Linked DNA regions of Tamandua tetradactyla. The protein of the gene in region 2 binds, or shares a complex with, the protein of the main gene of each other region. Links are inferred from orthologs where the notes say so. Each region holds a gene or a part of one and is shown on either strand. Other genes may lie near its edges.

What was found. Proteins that work in one complex are often made in the same cells at the same time.
Region 1: TMEM126B (region 2) and TMEM186 share a complex: the UniProt entries of both Homo sapiens proteins name them as parts of the mitochondrial complex. The link is inferred for Tamandua tetradactyla from reciprocal best matches to the Homo sapiens genes TMEM126B and TMEM186.
Region 3: TMEM126B (region 2) and ACAD9 share a complex: the UniProt entries of both Homo sapiens proteins name them as parts of the mitochondrial complex. The link is inferred for Tamandua tetradactyla from reciprocal best matches to the Homo sapiens genes TMEM126B and ACAD9.

The regions. Positions count from the first base shown.
Region 1 is NC_135349.1:48,649,476-48,657,253, forward strand, and holds TMEM186 (transmembrane protein 186), read left to right. Parts: upstream 1-4,616; 5' UTR 4,617-4,655; coding exon 4,656-4,658; intron 4,659-5,724; coding exon 5,725-6,360; 3' UTR 6,361-6,995; downstream 6,996-7,778. Other genes in the region: PMM2 (phosphomannomutase 2), read right to left, coding at 4,324-4,389. UniProt on the Homo sapiens protein: As part of the MCIA complex, required for efficient assembly of the mitochondrial complex I.
Region 2 is NC_135334.1:58,850,614-58,858,490, forward strand, and holds the start of TMEM126B (complex I assembly factor TMEM126B, mitochondrial), read right to left. Parts: upstream 3,135-7,877; 5' UTR 3,085-3,134; coding exon 3,004-3,084; intron 1,014-3,003; coding exon 892-1,013; intron 1-891. Other genes in the region: DLG2 (disks large homolog 2), read left to right, coding at 5,070-5,088. UniProt on the Homo sapiens protein: As part of the MCIA complex, involved in the assembly of the mitochondrial complex I. Participates in constructing the membrane arm of complex I.
Region 3 is NC_135335.1:32,578,702-32,586,690, forward strand, and holds the start of ACAD9 (complex I assembly factor ACAD9, mitochondrial), read right to left. Parts: upstream 3,284-7,989; 5' UTR 3,181-3,283; coding exon 3,037-3,180; intron 1-3,036. UniProt on the Homo sapiens protein: As part of the MCIA complex, primarily participates in the assembly of the mitochondrial complex I and therefore plays a role in oxidative phosphorylation.

The DNA.
Region 1 (7,778 bases), on a different chromosome or scaffold from region 2:
ATCTGAATGCAGAACTGAATAGTTGTGACAGAGATTAGATGGACTGCAATGCCTCAAATATTTACGCTGCAGCCTTTCACAGAAAATCGTTTGCTGAACTCTGGTCTAGGGAGTTAAGTATTAGGGAACTGGGGATACTGGTCTTGGTCTCATAATGACACTGTAGTTAAGACAGAGGACGTCTGTGTCCCTAAGAGATGCGTGCTGAAGGAGCTGGGGGGAAGTACCCTGATGACTGTGACTTAGGAGGTGGTTGGGCAAGACAAATCACAAAAAATGTAGAGATAAAGTTCATATGACAAAATGCCAACTGTGGTTGAATCTAAATGGTGGGGATAGGGTGTCCCCTTGGCTGTTCTTTCAGTGGTTCTACATCTTTGAAGTCTTTCATAATGAAAAGTCGGACAAACAATTCACACAGGTTTATATCCCGTTCTTTCTGAAGGCTATGGCCCCAGATGGAATGGCATTTTTTAGCAAAGGACTCAGCACATTAAAATTCTACTCAAACAACGAACTGTTTGAGAAAGCCCTGGGGTCCACTCTAATTAGATTTTGCCTGGTTAGTTACTTGTTTCTGCAAGAAAAGATAACCCATTCTTCTGCTTCTGGTTTATACTGGACTTATCCATGTTTGGGAATTCATATATTGAGGAAGGGAAAGATTGTATAATGAATATATTTTTTGCTGAAATATTTTTATTTAGAGCAAACAGGAATAACTATCTTTTAATTAGACTTTTTTTTTTACTGTAAAAACTTATTTTCTGGGGAAGAATTAGCTTTACTCAAAGGTCTGACCTTTGCCCTCAGCTACCTGGAGGCGATTCTGGTCCCCTGGAATGTCCTGCCTGATATGAGTGTCTTTGTTTGCCTGGGGGCTTTGGTCACCAAATAGTTGACCAATTATGATGGGGGTTTTAAGCCATATGAGCAGTTCTGACCTCTGGAGGAACTGGAGAGTTAAGCTGAAGGGGCTGGAGACTAAAGGTCAGCCATGCGGGCAGTATATGATTAAGCCCTGATAGAAACTCTGCAAACCAAGGCTCAGGCAAGCTCCCCTGGTTGGTGATACTCTAAGTGTATTGTCACACACAGTGGTCAGGAGAGGGTGACACAATCCAGGACTTCATGGGGAGTGGAAGACAGAAACTTTACGCTTGAACCCTTCCCAAAATTTGCTCTATGCATCTCTTGCCTGATTCTAATTCGTATTCTTCCCCCAAATAAAACTGTTATTGTAATTTTATCACTTTCCTGAGTTGGGTAAGTCCTTCTACTGAATCACCGAACCTGATGGTGGTCATGGGAACCCCTAAACTTGTAGCCAGCTGGTCTGACATGAAGGTTGTCTTGGGTGCCTGTGAACTTGCGGCTGGTATCTGGAGTGAGGGCAGTCTTGGGGGACTGTTCCCTGTGACTTTGCAGTTTGGCAAACTCACTGCAAGTTCAATGCAGAAAAACAGCCTGTTTCAAATGTTTTAAGGTATGTTGGTTTGAAACCGTTGTGTACCCCAAAAAGTTGTGTTCCTTAATCTTGATTCAATATTGCTGAATGGGATCTTTTTGATGAAGTTGTTTTCATGGAGATGTGACCCACCTAGTTATGGGTGGGCCCTTTTGATTAGGTGGTTTCCATGGAGATGCATCTCCACCCATTCAAGATGGGTCACTTACTGGAGTCCTTTACGTGGGAACCATTTTGGAAAAAGCTTCAAAGCTAACCCAGAGAAGTCTAGAGATACAGAAATAAAATGCCCCCAGGGGAAGTTGTTTAAAGAAGCTGGAAGAGAAAGCTAGCAGGCATCACCATGTGCCTTCCCAGCTGAGAGAAAAAAACCCTGAATGTCATCAGTCCTTTCTTTAGTCAAGGTATCTCTCCCTGGATGCCTTAGTTTGGACGTTTTATAGTGTTAGAACTGTAGATTTGCACTTTAATAAATTCCCCTTATAAGAGCTGTTTCATCTCTGGTTATCATATCCCAGCAGCATTAATAAACTAAATCATAAGGGATTACACTGCAGGTCACCTGGTTTCTTTACTATTTCAAGCTTTAAGCTCAGACATTCTGAATCTTTCTGAGAATCTAAAGCACTTTTCCAAACAGCATCCATAACAACTGGAACAGCTTCCGTAGGAAATGGCAAATGTGGCAAACAGCGATGCCCTAGGGTCCAGGGATTTGTAGCAGGTCTGCTGTGTGAAACTGAGAAGGTCAAAACTGCATGGGATCTCAGGTACCTTATGCGTAAATTGGGAATAACAACTATCCTACTTGGAGTGGAAGAGGGAGGAAAGAAGGTATGAGAGGATCCAATGATATTGTGTAAAAAAAGTTTTGGAAATAAAAACTTAGACCAAGGATCAATCAGCCATGGTCCACTGGCCAAAGAGAGCAGCTGCTTGTTTTTGTAAATGAAGTTTTATTGGAACACTGCCATGCCCATTTGTTTACATGTGGTCTATGGCTGCTTTTTTTTTTTTTTTAACATACCATACACCCACCAACCACCAGCATCTCAACCTAAGTTTATTTTAACATTTACTCCCCCATTATTCATTTTCATTCCATATGTTTTACTCGTCTGTTGATAAGGTGGATAAAAGGAGCATCAGACACAAGGTTTTCACAATCACACAGTCACACTGTGAAAGCTGTATCATTATACAATCATCTTCAAGAAACACAGCTACTGGAACACAGCTCTACATTTTCAGGTAGTTCCCTCCAGCCTCTCCATTACATCTTGACTAACAAGGTGATATCTATTTAATGTGTAAGAATAACCTCTAGCATAACCTCTCGACTCTGTTTGGACTCTCTCAGCCACTGACACTTTATTTTGTCTCATTTCACTCTCCCCGCTTTTGGTCAAGAAGGTTTTCTCAATCCCTCGATGCTGAGTCTCAGCTTATTCTAGGATTTCTGTCCCATGTTGCCAGGAAGGTCCACACCCCTGGGAGTCATGTCCCACGTAGACAGGGGGAGGGTGGTGAGTTTACTTGTTGTGTTGGCTGGAGAGACAGGCCACATCTGAGCAACAAAAGAGGTTCTCTTGGGGGTGATTCTTAGGACTAATTTTAAGTAGGCTTGGCCTATCCTTTGTGGGGTTAAGTTTCACTATGGCTGCTTTTGCATTAGAGTTGAGTAGTTACTATAGAAAAAAGGGTCTGCAAAGATGAAAATTTACTGTCTGGCCCTTTACAAAAAAAGAATTGCTGATCTTTGTCTTAGACCGCTGTGGACCTTTAGCAACCCACAAATGTGTGCTATCACTGAACCTCAGGGCCTTTGGAGAACTTGCCAGACAGACTGAACCTGTGGCTCAGAGGATAAAATGACGTGACTAAGGTCACACACATATAACGTGGAATTCTGGGTACACCACTGCCCACTCAGCTAAAAAACAATGGCAGGAAAGGGAATAGGGTAGAGGGGTTGTACTTGAGGACGGTAAAGCTATTTGGGCCCAGCCTCAAATCTCAATGGCTGATGCTGAGCAATCAATTTGTGCAGGAGATAATAGTGAGCCTCATCACAAATGCCGATTTTAGCTGAAACCTATCCATATCTATGGCAGCAAAATCTGGGAATGAGAAGCAAGAACCTAAAAAGTCCGAGAGAAGTCTCAACAGGTAGCCTCTAACTTCAACTCCTCTGCTGTCCAGATCCACTGCAGGGGTGAGAAAGGAGGGTGGTGGCTCACACTTATTAAAGCCTGCTGCGTGCAAGACACTTTTACAAGCTTATTTTATTTCATCTGATCCTCACGAATAACATAAAAAATACAGAATGTCCTCACTTAAAGCTGCAGACTGAGGTGTAGAGAGGTTAAGTGACTTGCTCAAGGTCACACAGTGGTGAAGCTGAGACTCGCCTAGGACTGCCTGACCCCGAATTCTTTGATTTTAATATTAGGCTACACAACACAGCTCATGGATAACGGGACCTCAGAAGGCACATGGCTGGTAAGGAGCCCTGAGCTGTGGTTCAAATCCACGGCCACCAGCCCGCAGGACTTACGGAGAGATTCTAGAACTGCACTTTTCAATCCAGTGCAAGTTTCCTGCTCTCAGGCGTTTTTTGGTTCCGTCCCATCACTCAGAACACCCTGAGGTCTTGAAGAATTGTACAGGGCTTTCTTCACATCCCTCCAAGACACCAGATTAAGACTCAGCCCCTTGGAGTTGGTAGGAGGTCATTAGCCGACCGGAGGTGGTCCTCAACCGCCCTCGCCGCCCACCCAGGGCGTCGTTAGTCCCGTCTGATCCCAGCAGAGGGCTCCACACCGGCTGCCGCCGGCCCACCGGGCGCCGCCTACCTGCCGCGGGGCCGTCAGAGTCCCGTCCACGTCGAAGAGGCAGAGCACTGGGCCGGGGTCCGCCATGTCTCCGGTCCCGTGACCACCTAAGAGGACTCGTTGGCACCAGGAACTCAACCCGGAACTTCCTGGTCCGGCCCACGTGCCGCAGGGCAAGCCGGGAGGCGGAGAATCTACTCCCACAATGCCTGGGGACTAGCAGCGACTACTTGGCTTTGGACCACAGCGACCAGAATGTAGTGCGCCTCGACGTTGTCGTTGCACGTATGCGCATGCGCCCTTAGAGGTCCGGAGGCAGGCGGGATTCACTTCCGGCAGCCGGCTGCGGGGCCATGGTAAAAACGCGAGTAATGGAATGAGGGAGGAATTGCGTTTTCCGGGGTTAGGGTAGAATTGGGGCGGACGGGCAGGACGCCCGAGTTTCTGACTCGGAGAATCCGCGGGAAGAAACTTCGGCGTGGGTTGCACTTAATTTTCTGGCTTCCTGTGCCCTCCATAGGTCACATGGGCTGATAATAGTGATGGCTAAAACTGACCGAGCGCTCACCTGTTCAAGCGCCGTGTTGAGGACTTTCAAATCATTTTATCTTTCACTTTGCTGTGAATCCCCATTTTTAAAGATGGGCAAATGGGCTCTCAGAGGTGTTGAGTAACTTGTCCAAGGAGATACAGCTAGTGACGGTTGGAGCCAGGTTGGGACCCAGATTGGGACCCAGATCTGGCTTCAAGGCCCGGGGCTCAGAGCTTTTTCCATTTTGTTCCACAAGGTGTAGAACTGCGCGCCTAGGATAATCTTTTCCCCTTCCCCTCTGCTGTTTTCCTCTCCTGAGCTAGGCTAAGGAGTTAGTTAGCAGTTAGTTGGTTAGGCACCCAAGCTAACGCATAAACCTGACAGAGAATTGAAAAGTTATTATCATAAGTATCTCACTGATTTCTTGCTCCAGTATCCTGATAGGACACTGATTGTTTACTGGGGAAGTGTCCACACAGCCTTGTGGATCCAGTGCTCAGCATAATGCCAGGCCCACAGTTGACCCTTATTAGTTATTTGTGGAATGAATGAAGGCTGGTCCCCCTTTTCTTACCTTTTTGGAACTGCCTGGAGGTAAGAGGAACGTTTTGAATGTCAGACCTGGCCTCCCTCACTAGCTGTCCATTTTGGGGCAAATTTTTTTTATCCTTTGTGGGTTTGGTTTCCTCAGTGGTAAAGTGGAAGTAGTGCTCTCTACTGCACATAGCTGGTGCAAAGGGCACTTGAGGTAGAGCATCTGGTTTTACCTTTCTCTTCATCTCTGGTGTCACTGATGACCTCAGGATGAGGGGGGAGTCTCTGTGTGAGAAGCCTTGCAGATTACTATGATGGAGTTCTGTAAGAGAAATGTTCTCCTTTCTCCCTTGCAGGCTGCCCTTCTCCGAGCTATACCCCGGTTGCGGGGACCAGCTGCGTGGGGAAGGCCTCTCTATGGGCTGTGGTGCTGCACTGAGCAGGATCCCAGGAGGTGCGTGGGGACCAGGTCACCCACCTCAGAGGAGAAACCACCAGACCCAGAGAAAGAGAAATTCCGTATGGTCTACCGGTTTGATGCCATCAGAGCCTTCGGGTATTTGTCTCGACTGAAGGTGGCACAGACAGCTCTGACAGTAGTGGCCCTGCCCCCAGGCTTCTACTGGTACTCCCAGGGCCTCATGACTCTCGACTCTTTGTGCCTTGTGGCTGGGATAGCTGGCTTTGCCCTGGCCATGTTGTGCTGGATGAGCTATTTCTTCCGAAGACTGGTGGGAATCCTGTATGTCAGTGAGTCGGGCACCATGCTGCGTGTAGCACACCTGAACTTCTGGGGGTGGCGGCAAGATACATACTGCCCTGTGGCTGATGTGATCCCCCTGACGGAAACCAGGGACCGGCCTCAGGATGCGTTCATGCGAATTCAGCAGTACAGTGGGAAACAGACCTTCTATCTCACCCTGCGCTATGGACGCATCCTGGACGAAGAGCGGTTCACACAGGTGTTTGGGGTCCTGGACACACTCAAGTGAATCCCTAGCTCTGGTCACCTAGATCTCTGAAGGGAAGACTGAGCGTACAGGGCAAGGCTGAAGAAGAGGATTGGACAGTTGGAGTCTTTGCCAGGACCCCTGGGAACTTGTCTTTTGGGAAGAGGAAATTCATGAGGCAGAAGCTAGTAATCAGGTTTAGAAAAAAGATCCTTAGTGCAGATTCTTAACTGCAATTTGTGTATATGACATTAAGTCAAATAATGACAGTTCATGGAGGAGGCTACGTCAGGTTCACCTGCATGGTACACAGTTGGGAAATTAGAAAACAGAGATGTGGCTGGGGGAGCCCAGGATTTGGAGTCTGAAGACTCCCAAGTTTTTCATTTCTCAGCTTTCTGTTGAGGGTAGGTTCTTGAATGTCTTTGAACATTGGTTTTCACATCCACAAAGTGGAGAGTCCTGCCTGTCTCCTGGGATGGGTATAAGGATAAACAGTAAATATCCGAATGCTTTGAAAACTCAGTGACCCTGAGCAAATACTAAGCTTTACGTCACAGTCCCAGACACTGCTCTGTTCTGAGGGTACCAGAGGTTCATAAAAGCCTTGGAGGTGTTTGTCGTTGAGTGTCTTGTGGCAGGACAGACATTAGACAAATAAACCTATGTTGTTACAAGTGGTGGCGAATGCAATGGGAGAGTGGGGTGGTTGGGGTGGGGAGGGGCATGGAAGGGACCTTAAATAGAGCCCTGAGATGGAAGTAAGAGGCAGGCACAGAGTTTGTTTCAGTCCAAGGAAACTGTGAGTATGAGCTGGGGAGAGCTGGGTGCATTTGCTGAGGAACAGAGAAGATGTGGAAGTGGAGCTAGGGAGGGAGGAAGAGCAAGGTCAGGAGACCTGCCTTGTTGGCAGGAGGGAAAGATTTTGAATTTTATCGATATCACAGTAGGAAGCCTTTGAAGGTCAGAGAAAGGAATTAAAACTTTTTTTTTTTAAGAACAAGAAATCACAGCTACTTTTAAAAAAAAATTTATTAATTAAAAAATTAAGAACAAAAACATTAAACATTAACATATAATTCTGTTCTACATATATATTCAGTAATTCTCAATATCATCACATAGTTGCATATTCATCATTTCTTAGAACATTTGCCTCAATTCAGAAAAATAAAAAGACAACAGAAAAAGAAAACAATAACAGAAAAAAAAATTATACATACCATATCCCTTACCCCTCATTTTCATTTATCACTAGCATTTCAAACTAAATTTATTTTAACATTTGTTCCCCCTATTATTTATTTTTATTCCAAATGTTCTACTCGTTTCTTGACAAGGTAGGTAAAAGGAGCATCAGAGACAAGGTTTTCACAATCACACAGTCACATTCACAGCTACTTTTAATGTTTATTCACCTTTACTTAAAGATACACATGAAGGGACTTAGGCTTACTGGT
Region 2 (7,877 bases):
CAGCTCCTGCTACTAAAATAATTAATTTGCTTAAGGTGATCTGAAAAAAGCCTATGTTTGGTTAGGCCTTCTAGAAAATAACTATTTCCTAAGTAATACAGATACACTGAAAATATTTTGTCCAGGATTCCCAAAACTTCATCCAAAGAGAGCGGACAGATTATTTTACTAATACTAACTTATATTGAAATCCAGAAACTTCTAAGGTCTAAGATCAGCTGTCTTCTGATTTTATTCTTGAGCTTTCTTAATCCAATAGTCAGTGTGGTATGAGAGACATTATATGTGTATCATTTGTTGTGCTGAGTACTGAGGTTGAGTAACCAGTCCTGAACTGATTTTAATAACAAATCAGTGAAATATAAGTAGTCCCAAATGGTTTTTCTCCTTTTATTTTTTTCTAGATTAAAAAGAAAATTTAATATTTATTTAGGTCCCTTTACATCTAGATCTCAAAATGCCATGGTGTCTTTTATTTTGAAAACCATTTGTTTTTAATAAGACTTGAATTTTGGACAGGTGTTAGACCATCTGGAAAATTCTCTGGAACCTCCAGGTATCATATAACACACTCATAAGAACCTACCTTCTAAGGAAATCTATGCTTATTTAACATCCCTTTACAATTGTTAACTTATTTTTAATTAAAAATTTTTTTTTGCACAAATGGTTTTAGCAATAATTTTGGGAACTTTTTAAGAGGCAAAAGTCATCATTGACAATTCCAATTTACAGCCAACTACTATTTTCATTTGTCCATGTTTTCCTTCAATTCTTTTTTTATAAGCTTTCTTCAGAACCAGTGAAGCTAAGAGTATCTTAGTCCTCACAAACAGCAGTACAGAAGATTTGTAAATGAAGCTATTGACTTTCAGTCTGGGTATCTCTTACTTTTCTTTTCTAAGATATTCAATTTTTTTTTCTATCATTTCAATAACTGTTGATCGTCTGAGTGTTGCATCTCCTTGAGAAGGACTGGGCTGCTGATGCATATATGTTGCTGTCTTGATGTCCTAGAAAACACAAATTTCAGAACCATAATAGCTAATGATATCAATATTAATTACAACCCTATAGATTTTACAGATTTTGTTTTAAAAACATTTAGAGACTAGTAATGTGCCAGGTACTATGCTATCTGCTTTCACATACTTTATGTTAATGATTTTAATCAATATTTACTGAGCTCTTATCTGGCATTTACTGCAAATTCCACATTTGTGGTTGTAAATGTTTACTTACCACATCAGTAAGTGGAAGGGCTCCTGATGGAAAGTTCAATGCTTTTTCTCTCCCTATCTCCTCCAGATTAGTCCTTTCATGAATTTACAGCAATCTCCATTTTAACAACTTTTATAGTCAAGAATATATACTAATCCTCAAATTTCAAGAGTTTTGGGCAAAAGGATTAAAGTGGATTAAACATAATGAACATAGGAAATAATAAATCAGTGGTTCTCAAGCTTTAGTGTGCACAAGAATCACTAACAGGAGTTTGTATGAAATGCAGTCTCTTGAGCTCCCTCCTGAGATATCTGGATTCAGTATGAGTGGGGTGAGGCCTAGAAATCTGCATCTTAACAGCATTGCAAATGTTTCTGATACTGGTTGTCAATGAATATACTTTGAACATCACTACAATACACATTTGCTGAATGAATGATCAATACCAATCCTAACCCTAACTAATGAAGGATAAGTCATCCTTGGCCCATGGCATTAACATTCTGAAGATACAGGTTCCTGTGAACCTTCTTATGGTATTGCACAGTAAGTAATAATGGCCAATTTTTACCCACAAATCCTTGCAGAGTTGTACTCAGGTTAGTTATTTTTCTTTAAAATATCTGGGAAGGAAAGGGAAAAAAGTTTTTACAAATGACAATTTCTCAGATACTAGACTTAATCTTTTGCATCTCTCTGACATGTGAGTGGAAAATGTAAGGGAAAAGATAGTAATATCTAACGGAAGGTCTATATCTAACAGGTTTAATGCATGATGAAGGCAAATGTCAAGAACATGATTAACCAAAAACCTTGGATAAGTTTTTGTTTTGCTGTCATTCGCATTATTGATACCCCCAATCCCCACAGAAATAACTTCCAGGCAATGCCCTGTACCAATCTCCTATCCAGCCTACACCCTCAGCTCTGCACAGGGAAAACAGAATTGTGATCATAAAATACTGAAACAGGCTGGCACATATTTATTAAGTACCTAACCTTTGCAAGACACTGCCAATATAAATGACCGATTCTTTTCATTACACTCTGCTTATTAAAGCAGAGAAGTAGACTGGTCAACTTTCAGAAAGACTTTTTACAAATACTGAAATGTAAAGGTTGTGCTCTAGCCAACATTCTATCTAAACACTAGTTCAAGCCACTCAACTGGCAACAACCAGTAAAAATGCATTTACGTAGGATTAGAGTTTGTAGAGCATTTTACGTTTTAAGTGTTATTATGTATATTATTCCACCTGACTTCCGGAATTTTATTCATCATTAATCATCACCTGGGATATGATAGGCCCCTGGGTAATCAAGATAAAGTCGTGTAGTCAGGATCCAAAGCCTAGTGGGAGGTCAAGACAAAATAAGCAGGTAATTTGAAAGGAGAATGAAGGTGACATACACACACCAACTTTAAAAAAGGCATACTTAAATCTAGCCAAAAATGTTGGGAACCTACCTGGAGGAACTGACATTTAAGCGAAGATCTGAAAGAGGAGAATTAAGCGCGGATGGGGAGAGACAGGAGCAAGTGAGTATTCCAAGCTGAAGGAAAGGCCCGTGCAACGGTCCAGAGACAAGAGAAAACAAGTTGCCTACGATCAGGACTAGACTTCAGGGCTCCTATTATCTCTCTAATCCTTCCCATACTGACTGGGGGCTTAATCGAAAGTTGTTCTTTTTGCTTTTCAAATGCCCTTTATGTGCATTATCCCAGAGGAGACCCCCAACATGTTGAGGCTCTAGATATATCACTCTGTTGCCGCCTACCTTGAGCGCTTCTCCAGCTCTCACCGGCATCACACCTACATCCCTTAACTCGGAACCAACCTCACGGCCGAGCACCGCCATCTTGGCGGCTCACGTGAGCCCGGGTGGGCGGGGCTCTAGAATGCCGGGGAGGGGGTAAGTGGCGCCTGCTCTCCCGCCTCGTCCGCCGCCCAGGCTCACTCTACCCAATCAAAAGCTGCGCTCACCATCCTGGCTGTGATTGGTCGTGGCGTCCAGAAATTACGGTTATCATTGGCTTCGCGGAGGAGCAGACGGGTCTGTTCTTGGGTCTCCCAGTATTTGCTTCCTCAGCTATTGGTCAGTCTCACTCCCTGTTCTCCTCCTACCCGGGGCGGAAAATGGGGCGTTCCAAGCTTAGGGATGGTGCTGCGCGCCTTCCTCGCCTCAGGGCAGCCCCCTAGATTGGAGCCGTGCCTGTCCTTGCTCCCAGAAGGAGTTCGCCTTCTCTGGCCTGGCTCTAGTGTTAAGGCTCCGGCTCCTCCGTTACCTCCTCTCCAAAGATCCGAATCAGCCGCCAGCGTCGCCAGACACCCCTGACTAGCCTCCTCCCCTCGTAGCTGCCAGACTCCTCTTCCCAATCTTTAGTCCCTTCATTCCATCCTTTCGCTCTGCTTGGAAAGGGACTGGAGAGAAATGTGTCCCACGCCTCCCTCCCACCCAGTAGACTCCCCTGTCAGCCGGTGGTTGGGGGTGGGGTGGGCGCTGTGCGATGAGGTCCAGCGTTCTTTTGTGCTCGTTAAATACCCAGCAGTATCTCTCAGACCAGCAACCCCGACCCCTCCAGTCTCCATGTCTTAGGGAAGCCAAGTTCGAGAGTTATATAATATCTAATGCTGCTGTTTCTCCTGCCTGAGGAAACACTTCATCGCCTGGAGGGTGCAGGACATTTCAGTGCTCTTCTGCATAAGAACCGGGTGTGGGCAGGGGTGGCAGCATTGGCAGAGAGATTTCTTGTCTTTTCTGCGAAAGGAAGGTGGGCAGTTTGGAGAGAGGCTGAGAGAAAGAGTGGATGCGAAGCCAAGCGGCTGAACTCTTTATTTAGAAAATCGCGGACCGTTTGCATAGCTTATGTTTACATGCCTACCGCTACTACAGCGTCTCTGAAAACGCCTTTGGGGGAAAGGTTTGCCTTTTCCTCTGGAACAGTCTCAGTGTTTTTTTTTTTCTCGCCGGATAGGTAGCTGCTTGGATGTGAAAAGGTGGCATGATGTGAATGACTCCAGTGTGAAGAAACCTGCTTCGCCAACTCATCCTGCATCAAAGTGCCCATTGAGTAGCACTGCCACTTTAATGTCTCCATGCCAAGGGATTGCTGTCCATCTTCTCAATCCTCTCGGTTAATATATGGGAGGATCGGAATCAGAGAGGCACTAGAGAACGAGCCTGGGGGGGGCTTGGAGAGGCCAGAAGATAAAGATGAAAATGACAGCGAGCACGATCCTGTCTGACTGAGGGAGTGAGATCCGAACTTCTGGTCCAGTAAATAGAAAGGGGCCTTTCAAGTCTGTTTTTGCCCCCAGAGGACTGTTCAAACTCACCCACCTTTTTAGAGACTTTTGAGTTTTTTGTTTTGGTGAGGGGGAGGGGGCAGTTACTTTTTTCTCTTAAGGAACTGAACATCTTTATAATCAACCAGTGCATTTTTGAACTTGATCATGTATAGAGTAATGAGACAGCTGTCCAAATTTGGTTTGTGCCTTGAGTTAGTCACTGAACTTCCAAAAATGTTGCTGCCTGAAGGAGAGTTTTAATTACATTTCTATGCCACAATAATTTTCTCAGTTTTTTAAAACAATATTTTATAAAAATTGAAAAACTTGAAAAACTCAAAAGTTAGTTTTCTCTGTGCTCTGTGGGAGATGTCAAAAATTTAATTGTGGAAAAAAATACATTATTGTCTTTACCTGAAATAAAAGGCTCAGCGTGGATTTCAAAACTGAACAGTGAAGTGGTTTGCAACAGTTACCTGGTTTTGGCCTCAATCCGCTGGATCAAGCTGAGACCTGAAGAGATCTTGAATCCTGTGGCAGCGGAAAGACCCAACAATGCCAGTCAAGAGGAAAGGTGGGCTATGAGGCTTCCTATATAATACTTGTTTCTCCCTTTTCTTGGGGGCTCTGGTATTTGTAATTTTGAATTGTATTCCATCAGAAGGTAAAATTTTGCTTGGGTTTTATGAAATATTTATTGTAATTAGGCTTATTCAGTGGTACAACATTCAGTAATATTTTGCTAGAGCAAAATGAAATATGACTATAGTATTAAATTGATATTTGCGATTTCATAAATCAGGTTTTCTAAATCACCAATTTATAACAAGAATAGAAAGATTCAATGTCAAGGATTTAGGATTTTCTATAACTTGTTTTCTTTGCATGTTAAAGGTTATTTTTAAACAATCTTTAGAAAGGAAACTTGTACAGTGAAATTCTTTTCCATGATTTAATATTTATCAAACTATGTAGTTGTGAAAAATAGCAAAGTAATTTCATTTCCACTGAACAACTTACAGATTTATAATTTATCTTCTGACTTTTTTAAAAAGAAAATTTTGTATTTTGGTTTCATGCCAATACAAATCTCCACTTTTGTGATAAAGCACAACTTTGCTATCTGTTGTGCTTTTCCAGATACCTCCAAATGCACTATCCAATAAAATGATTGTTAAGTACCCCAAATGATGCAAACACCTAGCTTTTTTTTTCTCCCAATTTTTATAGCATGGAATGGATCAAGTTCTAATGGGTTCCTGCAATTTAGTCTATTAAAGGTGAGACCTTAGGGATTCAGGTTAACCTACATCTACCCCATGTTAACATTGTTCCCAAGTTTTCTAATGAAACCAGTTTGATTTTTTTTTTATGTGATATGGAAGATCAGATCAACTATAAAGAATTTTCTCAAGAGTTCTGAAACAAAATTTATGTGAACATTCTTGAACTCTACTATATTGTACCAGCATAAATCCAAATGTTGGCCAGTTATATCATTTGCTGCATTCCGAAACTAATCCTCTGGGTGAATTGTAGGTCAGAGTGCCTGGGTCCTGAGGCAGTGACCCAAGGTTGTACAACCTTGCTTTGCACAGTGTTTAATCCTTTTACCATGTGTTTGGAAGGTGCGTTGAAGAAATTGTAATGAATGAAATGTTTCATGCAAGATAGTATTTGTAAAGGTGGGACATGATATATTAAACTTGGAATCACCTAGAACTGTCCCTTTGTACACCAGTATTTAAGACTGGGTTATCAACTTCCTTTCTCCCTCCTGTTATCACTGAGAGAAGTAGACTTTCTCTGAGATCTTGGAGCCACACCTGCTCAGACCTGACCCAGTAGTTTATCTGGAAAAAGACTGGCTTTTTGTTTTTTTGGAACGTAGCCAATAAATGATATGGCTCTTTGACTTATTTAGCTTGCTGTGTCCTTTTATTCTTTCTACCATTTATAGTTCTCTAGAGAGTGTCTCTTTTAAAACTACCTTATTTTGAACTAGTGATTGAATTAGATACGTTGTGTGTGAGAGAGAGAGGAGAGGAGAAGGAAAACGGGAGAGAGAAAGAGAGCAGGAAGGGGAGAAAGCAAATGAAGGAGGAGGGGAGACAGAGAGGGAAGGAGAGATAAAAGCATGTGTGTGGGAATGAGGAAGGTAGTTGATGTTCTAGGTATAACTTAAAGGATGAATTTTTTAAGAATTCTAAAGCCAACAGACTAAATTTTTTCTTAAAAGTTCCTACCTTTAAAAGAACTGTTAAACCATTGCTGATAAATTATTGAAGATTATAATACTTTATAGAAAATAATTTGATGTTATTTTCTCCCTCCCTCCTGCCTTCCCTTTTTCTCTTCATATTTCTTTGATAATAGGTTGATTGTAATGGATCAGATTTTTTAGGGAATTGGCAAGTTCTAACTAGCAAAACTATATGTGTTGGCTTATCCTAAAGTATTGGCACTATGTAATTTATTTTCTGAACTAATCTAGTTAAAGAAACAATTTATCTTGTTTTTAACTTCTTAAAACTGTTAGTATTAAGATGTATGTTTTTGAATACTATAGATAATTAACCAAACAAGTTATTACATGAGCATCTTATTTTTAATTGGTTAAGCTTACTATTTGTACTCCTGTAATATAAGTAAAAACAAATACTATGAATAGTACAGCTTAGGTTTATTCTGTAAGGAACACTGCCGTCATTTTGACTCTTTTCTCTCTTCATTGTTAAATATTGTAGATATGATGGAAGATCTAGACTTAATATAATTTTAAAGCACATTAAGCTAAATGTTTGTTGTTAAATATATTATTAAAATATGTAATTTTCATAAGAGATTTTCATTTGGTATTTATTGTGTATATTGTCAAAGTAGAGAGGAGACTGATAAGATGCAACCATCCTAGGAAGTGGAAATAGGTGTGACATCTTGGTAAGTCTATTTCCATGTACTATTCTTAATTGCTCTTAGAAAAGATGAAACTTTTCTTAATTGCTCTTAGAAAAGATGAAACTGCTGTATCTCAGCCCATCCCCACCCACTCGTATTCACTGCTGTTTTCTGTTTGACATTCTGTTTGACTGGTGTGGGAACTGCTGTTCCCACACCAGTCTACATTTGTACAGGTCTCAGCTTTAAAACGAGAGAAGATTCTTCTGTTTTTCTGTTAGGGGTCCCCCCCCCCCCCAGTAGTTGTTTTTCATTCATGATTCTCTTTTCTGTGGTAGTAGCTTGAATTGTACCCAAATGAATCTATAGGTCATTTTTGACCTATTTCAATTTGTGCAAATTTAGGGCCAATCTAAGATGTCATATTAGCAAGGTCATGTATATTGTAAAGGAGCTATTTCAATA
Region 3 (7,989 bases), on a different chromosome or scaffold from region 2:
ATTGAATGGGATGTCTCATAGGCGCTGGGTTCAACTAGTAATTTTCAGTTTGTTTTTAAAGCATGGAAACTGTTTCTCAAACAACTCTAGCATAGAAAAAAATAATAATATAAAACAGATAAAAGCCAAGCTGCTCCAATTGAGGCTGGAGGTGGGGAGAAAGATCCCAATGGCCCACCCACTCAGTTTCCCACTGGTCTTGGCAGGAGCCCCAGGGGCAGTTCCGGGAAGAGCAAGTGTGGCAAATGCTGGCCTAGATGAGCTTAATGATCTCTTCCTATTCTGAGATTCTAAGCATTGCTGCCACTTTCCTGCTCAAATTCCGATAATACTGTGAGAGCTGAGGTTGGTGATTCTGGATATAAACTGCAGGAAGGGAAGACAGGATGTGTTGTCAGAGTAGATGTGGATATAAGAATAAGAGTTATAAGGATTCCCAGTGTTCAGTCTGAACAAGTAAAATAACAGTTGCCACTGTCTACAACAAGGAAGGTGGTGGAGTAGAGAGACCAGCAACTCAGTTTTGAATGTTAAACTTGAGACAACTATTAGGCATCTCTTATGGGCTGAAAGGTGTCCCCCCAACCCTTCCTTCCCAAAAATATGTTGATGTCCTAGTCCCTAGTCCCTCGGAATGGGACCTTATTTGGAAATAAAGTTGCTACAGATTAAGATAAAGTTATAATCAGAAATTAGAGCAACGATTCTGAATGGGATGAGATGGGGGGGTGGGATGAGGTAACAGAATGTGGAGTTATTGCTTAATGGGTGCAGAGCTTGTTTTGGGTGACAAAAGTGTTCTGGTAATGGGTGGTGCTGATGGTAGCACATGGGGAACTTAATCAAAGCCAGTGAAGTATACACTTCAATGGTTCACATGGGAAATTTTGAGTTGCATATATAATACCACAACAAAAAGGTTTAAAAATGATGAAAGATGAGGTCATAGTAGCGTTGGAAGGCTCCTAAACCAAAAGGACTGGTGATCTCAATAGGGTCTGACACAGGGGAGGTAGCCATGTGAGGATGGAAGCAGAGAGTAAAGTGCTGGAGCTGCAAGCCAAGAAACGTCAAAGACTACTGGCCAACACCAAGAGCTAGAAGAGGCAAGGGAGGAGTCTCCTCTACAGGTTCAGAGGGACCTTGCTTTCAGAACCAAGACAATAAATTGCTGGTGTTTTAAGCCACCAAGCTCGTGACAGGGGCCCTAAGAAACTAAGACAACATCTAAGTGGAGCTGTGGGGCAGAAAAGTAGACATAAAGTCTGGAGTTCAGCTCTGGGGCAGAAAAATAAATATAAAGTCTGAACTGAAGAAATAAACTCATAGCCCGAGCCTTAGAATATACCACTCTAACTGGGTATGTCAGAAAGAATGACGAATGTGTAGAGGTCAAGGAACTGAGAAAGAGACTGGGTAAGACCAGACTGAGGTAAAAAGAAGAACTGGGATAGAATGGTCTTTCAGAAGACAGGTGAAGAAAGTGCTTCAAAGAGGGTGGTGGGATGAACTGTCAGATGCCAATGATAGGGCAAGATTAGGACCGAGAAGAGACCATTAGATTTGATGATGTGCAGGCCACGACCAACTTTCAGGAGAGCAGTTTTAGAAGAGTGTTAATGACAAAAGCCTGAGATGAAGTAGAGAAGGAAACACTGATGATGCAGATGACAAAAGACAGAGTAAGTGAATCAGATCCTTGAAAAGGTGAGAAGGCATGAGGTCTAGTGATGAGGCTGGGCTTTGGGAGTTGAGAGTTCATTCACAGTCATAGGAAGAAAGTAGAAGAAATAGGTATAAATGTGGGGAGGAGAGGGTATATGTGATGATGAAAGTTCTCCTTGACTGCAGGTATTTTCTTAGTGAAGCAGGAAGCAAACTTGACCGCTGAGAGTAAGGATGGGAGAGTCGGCACCAGAGGTTCAAAAACCTGAAGGAAGAAAAGCTTGTGTCCTTTCCTGGCCATGCTGTTTAGAGGCATAGGTCCCAGGAGACAGCACAACACAGCCTCACATTCAGGGTGAAAAAAAAAAGGTTTCCCAAACTTTAAAGACTTAGATCTGCACTCACTGACAGGAAAACCCACTCTCAGTCTGTCTCAGCTTCTACACCTGTACGGCTGGTATAAAAGGGTCAGCCTAACAATCGCAGAGGAATGTTCTAATGAGAAAGGAACTGACTCCTTAAGCCATACAGCAGCAGTCAACTTTTTGCTAAGCCTTGCTCAAAGCACTTCACAAAAGTTTTTTCTTTGGACTGCACAGCACCTTTAGCTGAGGATGAATTATGTTTATACTCCTATCCTGTAGAAGAGCCCACTGAGGCACAGGGACCTAAGTGAGTACCTGAAAGTTACACAAATAAGCACTGACGCCAGCATTAACAATTCTGCTGCCTCTTACCTCTACCCAGTACCTTCCTGCTTAGAAAACAGTTCCAGATACCACTGTGAGGTAGAAGCATGACTAGATGCATTTTAAGGTTGAAGAACTAAGGCCCCCCAAGTCATAGAGCCGAGGTCAATTTCAAGTCTTCAAACAACAAGAGGATGGAAAGTGCTTAATAACCAAACCGCTGCTATTGACTGTGACCGCGGAAGGGATGGCGAGAAGAAGGCACCTTGGAGCCAGGTTCTTCGGCAGCCTGAATGGTAGGTTCCGGAGCCGGGACTCAGCTCTGAAACCTAAGAGCAGTTGGAAGCCCACGAGGAGCGGCAGGGTCTGCGCTGTTTAGAAATCAGAGAAATCTCGCACATTTTGGGGCTAAGACAACCCAGTTGAGCTCTGCTTGGCGATCACCTAGAATAGGGTTTCCCAAATTAACCTGACAGGAATTAGCTGGAATAGCTGTCAAAATCATGGTTTCTCCAGGCCCCTTTCTCTGGAAAGGCTGGAGTGGGACTCGTAACACGCCCCGCCCCCAGGTGATTCCAGTTAGGCAGATTTGGGGACACTGACAAAGCTCGACACCTGTTTTGCTTGCTAGGGCCGAAAGGTGGGAGCCGGGGAGCAAGGGTCAGCTCGGGCCTGGCGTTACCTTCTCGATTTTGCCCAGGAAGAGCTCCTTGGCGAAAGCTCCGCTCGGAGGGCTGGTGCGCAGCGTGCGTCGGCTCGCCGGGAAGGCGGCCAGAGCCCGGCAGGAACGCGCCGCCGAGCGCAAAAATAGCACGCAGACGCTCATGCTGCCTCCAACTCCTTAAGCCGCCGGGTCCGCCGCCGCCACTTTTCAGCATCAGCAGTCTAGTGCACCTGACTCGCGTAGCCCGATGACGCCACTCGACTGCGACGCCCCCCCCCAACATTGCGCTTGCGCTACCTCCCGCGGACTGCCGGCTGGAGGGGGCGGATCCGGGGGCGGGCCCGGGGGACGGGAAGGGGCGGGGCCGGCACCGGCCCGGGCGCCATGTTGGCGGCCTTGACCTCCGGTGGGTGGTGCATGCGAGGTAGGTTATATCTTCCAATGGCAGTCCTCTCCAGGAACAGATTGGTCTTCTTTCTTTAATCTCTCATTGTGCGTGTACCATGACTGTAGCATTTACCACAGTATTGGAAAATATTTTCCGGCTCCATTATATGAACTTGAGAACAGTAGGAAATCTCGTTCATGTCAACATGCTTTAACCCCCTCCTTGAGCGAGTCTCAATAAAAAGTTGAATTAATTGCGTTAAAGACCTGATGACCCAACGTCAGAAAGATAAGAACCCAAAGACTTATTTGGTTAAAAAATATTTGCAAAAAAATTGTACTTTGGGTAGGGTGTTGCCTAATTTGACTTGTGTGGTCAGTTCAGTTGAACACCATAAACTTGAATAAGACAGGAGATCTTGTTGGTTTGTACAGGTTGGTGTAAAGCCTGGATATATCCCCGAGTAATCTGGGCAGAGAATGAAGAAGTGTTTGTGGGGGCTGTGGAGGGCCAGGAGCAATAAATCAGGCCGGAGCAAGGAAAGTCCCCAAAAATCTGGGGCGAAATGTCCCCAAGAGTTAAACAATGACCAATGTTAGGAAACTGAGGGAACAGGATGTGTTTTGGCAACAGTTAATGGCATTTTTCTGCTTCTGTAATTACACTTGCTTGCTAGCACCTGCAAACCACAACATGATTTTAGCCTTTATAAGCTCACCTTGAAAACCTCTGGGAGCTGCTCTCTGAATCATCCTTCTTGAAGGTTTCTGAGGCAGTGGCCAGCAGGTTAATAAAGACTCCCAATTGGCTTGCAGTTTTGAATTGTGTGGTCTGTCTTTCAGTGCGCCCCACAACATTTGGAGGCCCCAGCAAGATTATCCCTAACAGGACATCTGGTGACCACCGGTCCTGGATCGCCCCTGGAACCAAGGTCCAGCATAGGGGAAGGCCTCGGAGAGACGTTCCTCCACCCCAGGCAAGGACCAGGGACCAGGCCGGTTCTACAGGACTCTCCTAAATTATAGAAAATCTGGTGGAGTCATCTGTTTTTGGAAACCTCACCGGTGAGTACAGGTCTGTTATTGGATCCAGTGAGGACCTCTGGAGGGCTGAATGCAGCATTACTTCTGAGGTCCAGTCCTGGAGCAAGACATTGCCCAGGACTATGGGTTAGGAATTAGTTAGGGATAGCTCTTTGCTTATTTTGATTTGTTTTGTCCCTCCTCCCAATTGTTGGTCTCATCGCATTCTGTGTCGTTCTTGTCTTAATTGCCGTGGGTCAGTCAAGTTCATCTGTCTGTACTCCCCTTCAATGTTTTTTTAAAAATTTTCAGGAATTTCAGCCGAAGGCCAGAGACTACAGAGCCCCTGTCAATACCTTTGACTTGGAAAAATTCTGTTCATGGGAGTAGCCAACTTTTGGTACTGGGTGGCCTCCTGAGGGAACCACAGATCTATCTGTGGCTTATAAAGTCCAAAGGGCGATTTTTGGTAATCCAGGCCACACTGACCAAATCCCCTGTATGGTAATTTGGATTGAAATCTTTACAGAAAAACCCAAGTGGTTACAGTCCTGCATGGAGACCCAAAAAGGAAAACCCCCCAAAGCCAAACGGCCCTCTTAATAAAATTCTCTCAGAAAGAAAAAAAACTAATGGGATCCCAGTATTGACAGGACCCTTGGAGGATCTGCTCTCGATGGACCCTCCCCCATACCCAACAGCCCTTCCGCCCCCTCTAAGACCAGAGGGGAGGAAAGGTCAAGAGGTGGCAACCAGCCCCTCTGATAGCCAGGAGGTGACCTTCAGTCCCCCCCATACCAGAAGTGGTTCTGCTTACCACCCTTCTTCTGGTTCACAATCACCGGATTCTTCTGGAGCTCCAATTTTACCCTTGAGGCAGGTTGGCCCTGCCCTGGGGGATGACCGTCCACCTTTCATGGTCTATGTCCCCTTTTCCTCTAGCGATCTGTGTAATTGGAAAAACCAGAATCCCTCTTTCTCTGAAGAGCCGCAAGGGCTCATCTCCCTCTTGGAGACTGTCTTTTTGACGCACCAGCCCACCTGGGATGACTGCCAACAGCTCCCCCAGGCCCTCTTCACCTCCGAAGAATGAGACTGGGTCAGGAGAGAGGCGAGGGAGTTAATTCTTGGACCTGATGGACAACCTACTACTGAATCAACCCGATTAGAGGCTATGTTCCCCTCCACCTGTCCCAGACAGGACCCCAACACTGAGAGAGGTAAGGAGGCTCTTGATCGATATCACTGGACTCTGCTCTGGGGAATACAAGTGGCGGCCAAGAAGCCAACCAACTTATCTCAGGTAAGTGAAACCGTACAAAAGCCTGATGAATCTCCGGCCGCTTTCCTTGATCTCCTCCTTGAGTCATACCACTTGTACACCCCTATAGATCCAGAGGCACCCAAAAATAGGCGAGCTGTAAATATAGCATTTGTCACCCAGTCGACCCCAGATATAAGAAAAAAGTTACAGAAATTAGAAGGATTTGAGGGTAAAGTGCTATCCGAACTGATAGAGAGTGCCCGCAAGACTTTTAATGACAGAGATAACCCCGGAACCACGCAGTCCCAAAAAAAAATAGCCAAAATTTTAATATCCGTGATGGCTGAACAGGAAAAACAAAAAGGTAGGGTACACAGGTAGTTTAGTGGTTAGAATGCCCGCCTTTCATGTGGGAGACCCGAGTTCGATTCCTGGACCACGCACGCACGCACGCGCGCACACACACACACACACACCCCAAAAAAGGAAAAACAAAAAGGTAGACAAGAAACCATTGAAAAAAGAAAGGGAAACCAAGGAAAAGGTTGGGCCTACTAATGTGCCTACTGCAAAGAGAATGGACATCAGAAAAATGAATGCCCTAAAAGAGAAATTAAAGGACTGAAACCAGCCCCTGTTCTAATTGGAGAGGTGAATTGATGGGGACAGCGCTCCTTTCCATTGAGCCCCCGGGAGCCCAAGTTCACCTTAGAAATCTGGGGCAAGCCTATAAAATTTCTTGTGGAAATACTCGGGCGACCTTCTCCATCCTCCAGCAAGCAGAAGGGCCCAGATCTAAGGAAAAAATCCCCATACAGGGAGCAACGGGAAAGACAATGTCTTACCCATGGACGAAGACAAGGATCACTGACCTTGGGGAAGGAACTGTCACCTACTCGTTTCTTGTAATGCCAGAGTGTCCATACCCCCTTTTGGGGAGAGACCTTCTCCAGAAATTACAAGCCACCATCTCTTTCAAAAATGATTCGGCCGAGCTCTCCTTCAATATAAAACCCTCGGCAATCTTCCTCACTTGCCCCTTATTGGATATTCACTTACTGCAGAAGTGGTGCTGTTGGCCCCAGGCCCATATTTGCGGGAATTTAAAGAAAAAATACCAGGCATATGGGCAGAAACTAACCTACCAAGATTAGCCACCCACTGGCCTCCCATTGTTGTCCAGCTGACTAGCACCACCACCCCAATCAGAGTCCGACAGTACCCAATAAGCTTAAAGCCTAAAAAAGGCATTGCAGTCCATATCAAAAGACTCAGAGGCAGGTATTCTAGTCCCCTTCCATTCGGCCTGGAACACCCCCCTTCTCCCAGTCCAAAAAACCCGGGACTGACGATTTCCGGCCAGTGCAAGATTTCCAAGAGGTAAACAAAAAAATTGAAACCATTCACCCCACTGTGCCTAACCCATATACACTCTTGAGCCTGTTACCTCTCAGCCAGCAGGTCTACACTGTTCTGGACTTAAAGGATGCCTTCATTTCACTTCCCCTGGCCGTGGTAAGTCAACCCATCTTTGCTTTTGAATGGACTGACCCAGAGTGGGGGTTCTCTGGACAACTAACCTGGACTCGGTTGCCTCAGGGTTTCAAAAATTCTCCCACCCTGTTCAATGAGGTTTTAAGCCAGGATCTGGCTCGTTTTAGACAAGAGCATCCAGAGATAACTCTCCTACAATATGTGGATGACCTCTTACTGGCAGCTAATAACCTGTCAGACTGCAAAAAGGCAACTGAAAACTTGTTACAGGAACTAGCCCAGTTGGGCTATTGGGTCTCAGCCAAAAAAGCCCAACTCTGCACCAGTTCAGCAACATGCTTAGGGTATGAATTAGAAGGGGGAAAAAGAGCTCTGTCTTCTAAAAGGATTGAAGCTATCCTAAAAATACCCTAACCAAAAATGAAAAGGCAGGTACGGGAATTCTTAGGGGCAGTTGGATATTGCTGGCTCTGGATTCCCGGGTTTGCAGAGATAGCAAAACCCCTATACACTAGCACAGGGGGAAAGGAGGAAGCTCTACCTGGACTGAGGCTGAGCAAAAAGGTTTTAAGATGCTGAAACAGGCACTTGTGAGCGCCCCTGCCTTAACCTTGCCTGACATATCCAAACCTTTTCAACTACATGTCGCTGAAACCTGGGGAATAGCAAAAGAAGTCGTCACCCAAATGCTAGGGCTATGGAGGATACCAGTTGCCTACCTGTCTAAAAGACTAGACTATGTAGTGGCCAGGTGGCCAAGCTTTCTCTGAGCCATTGCCACCACTGCCATTTTAGTAAAAGAA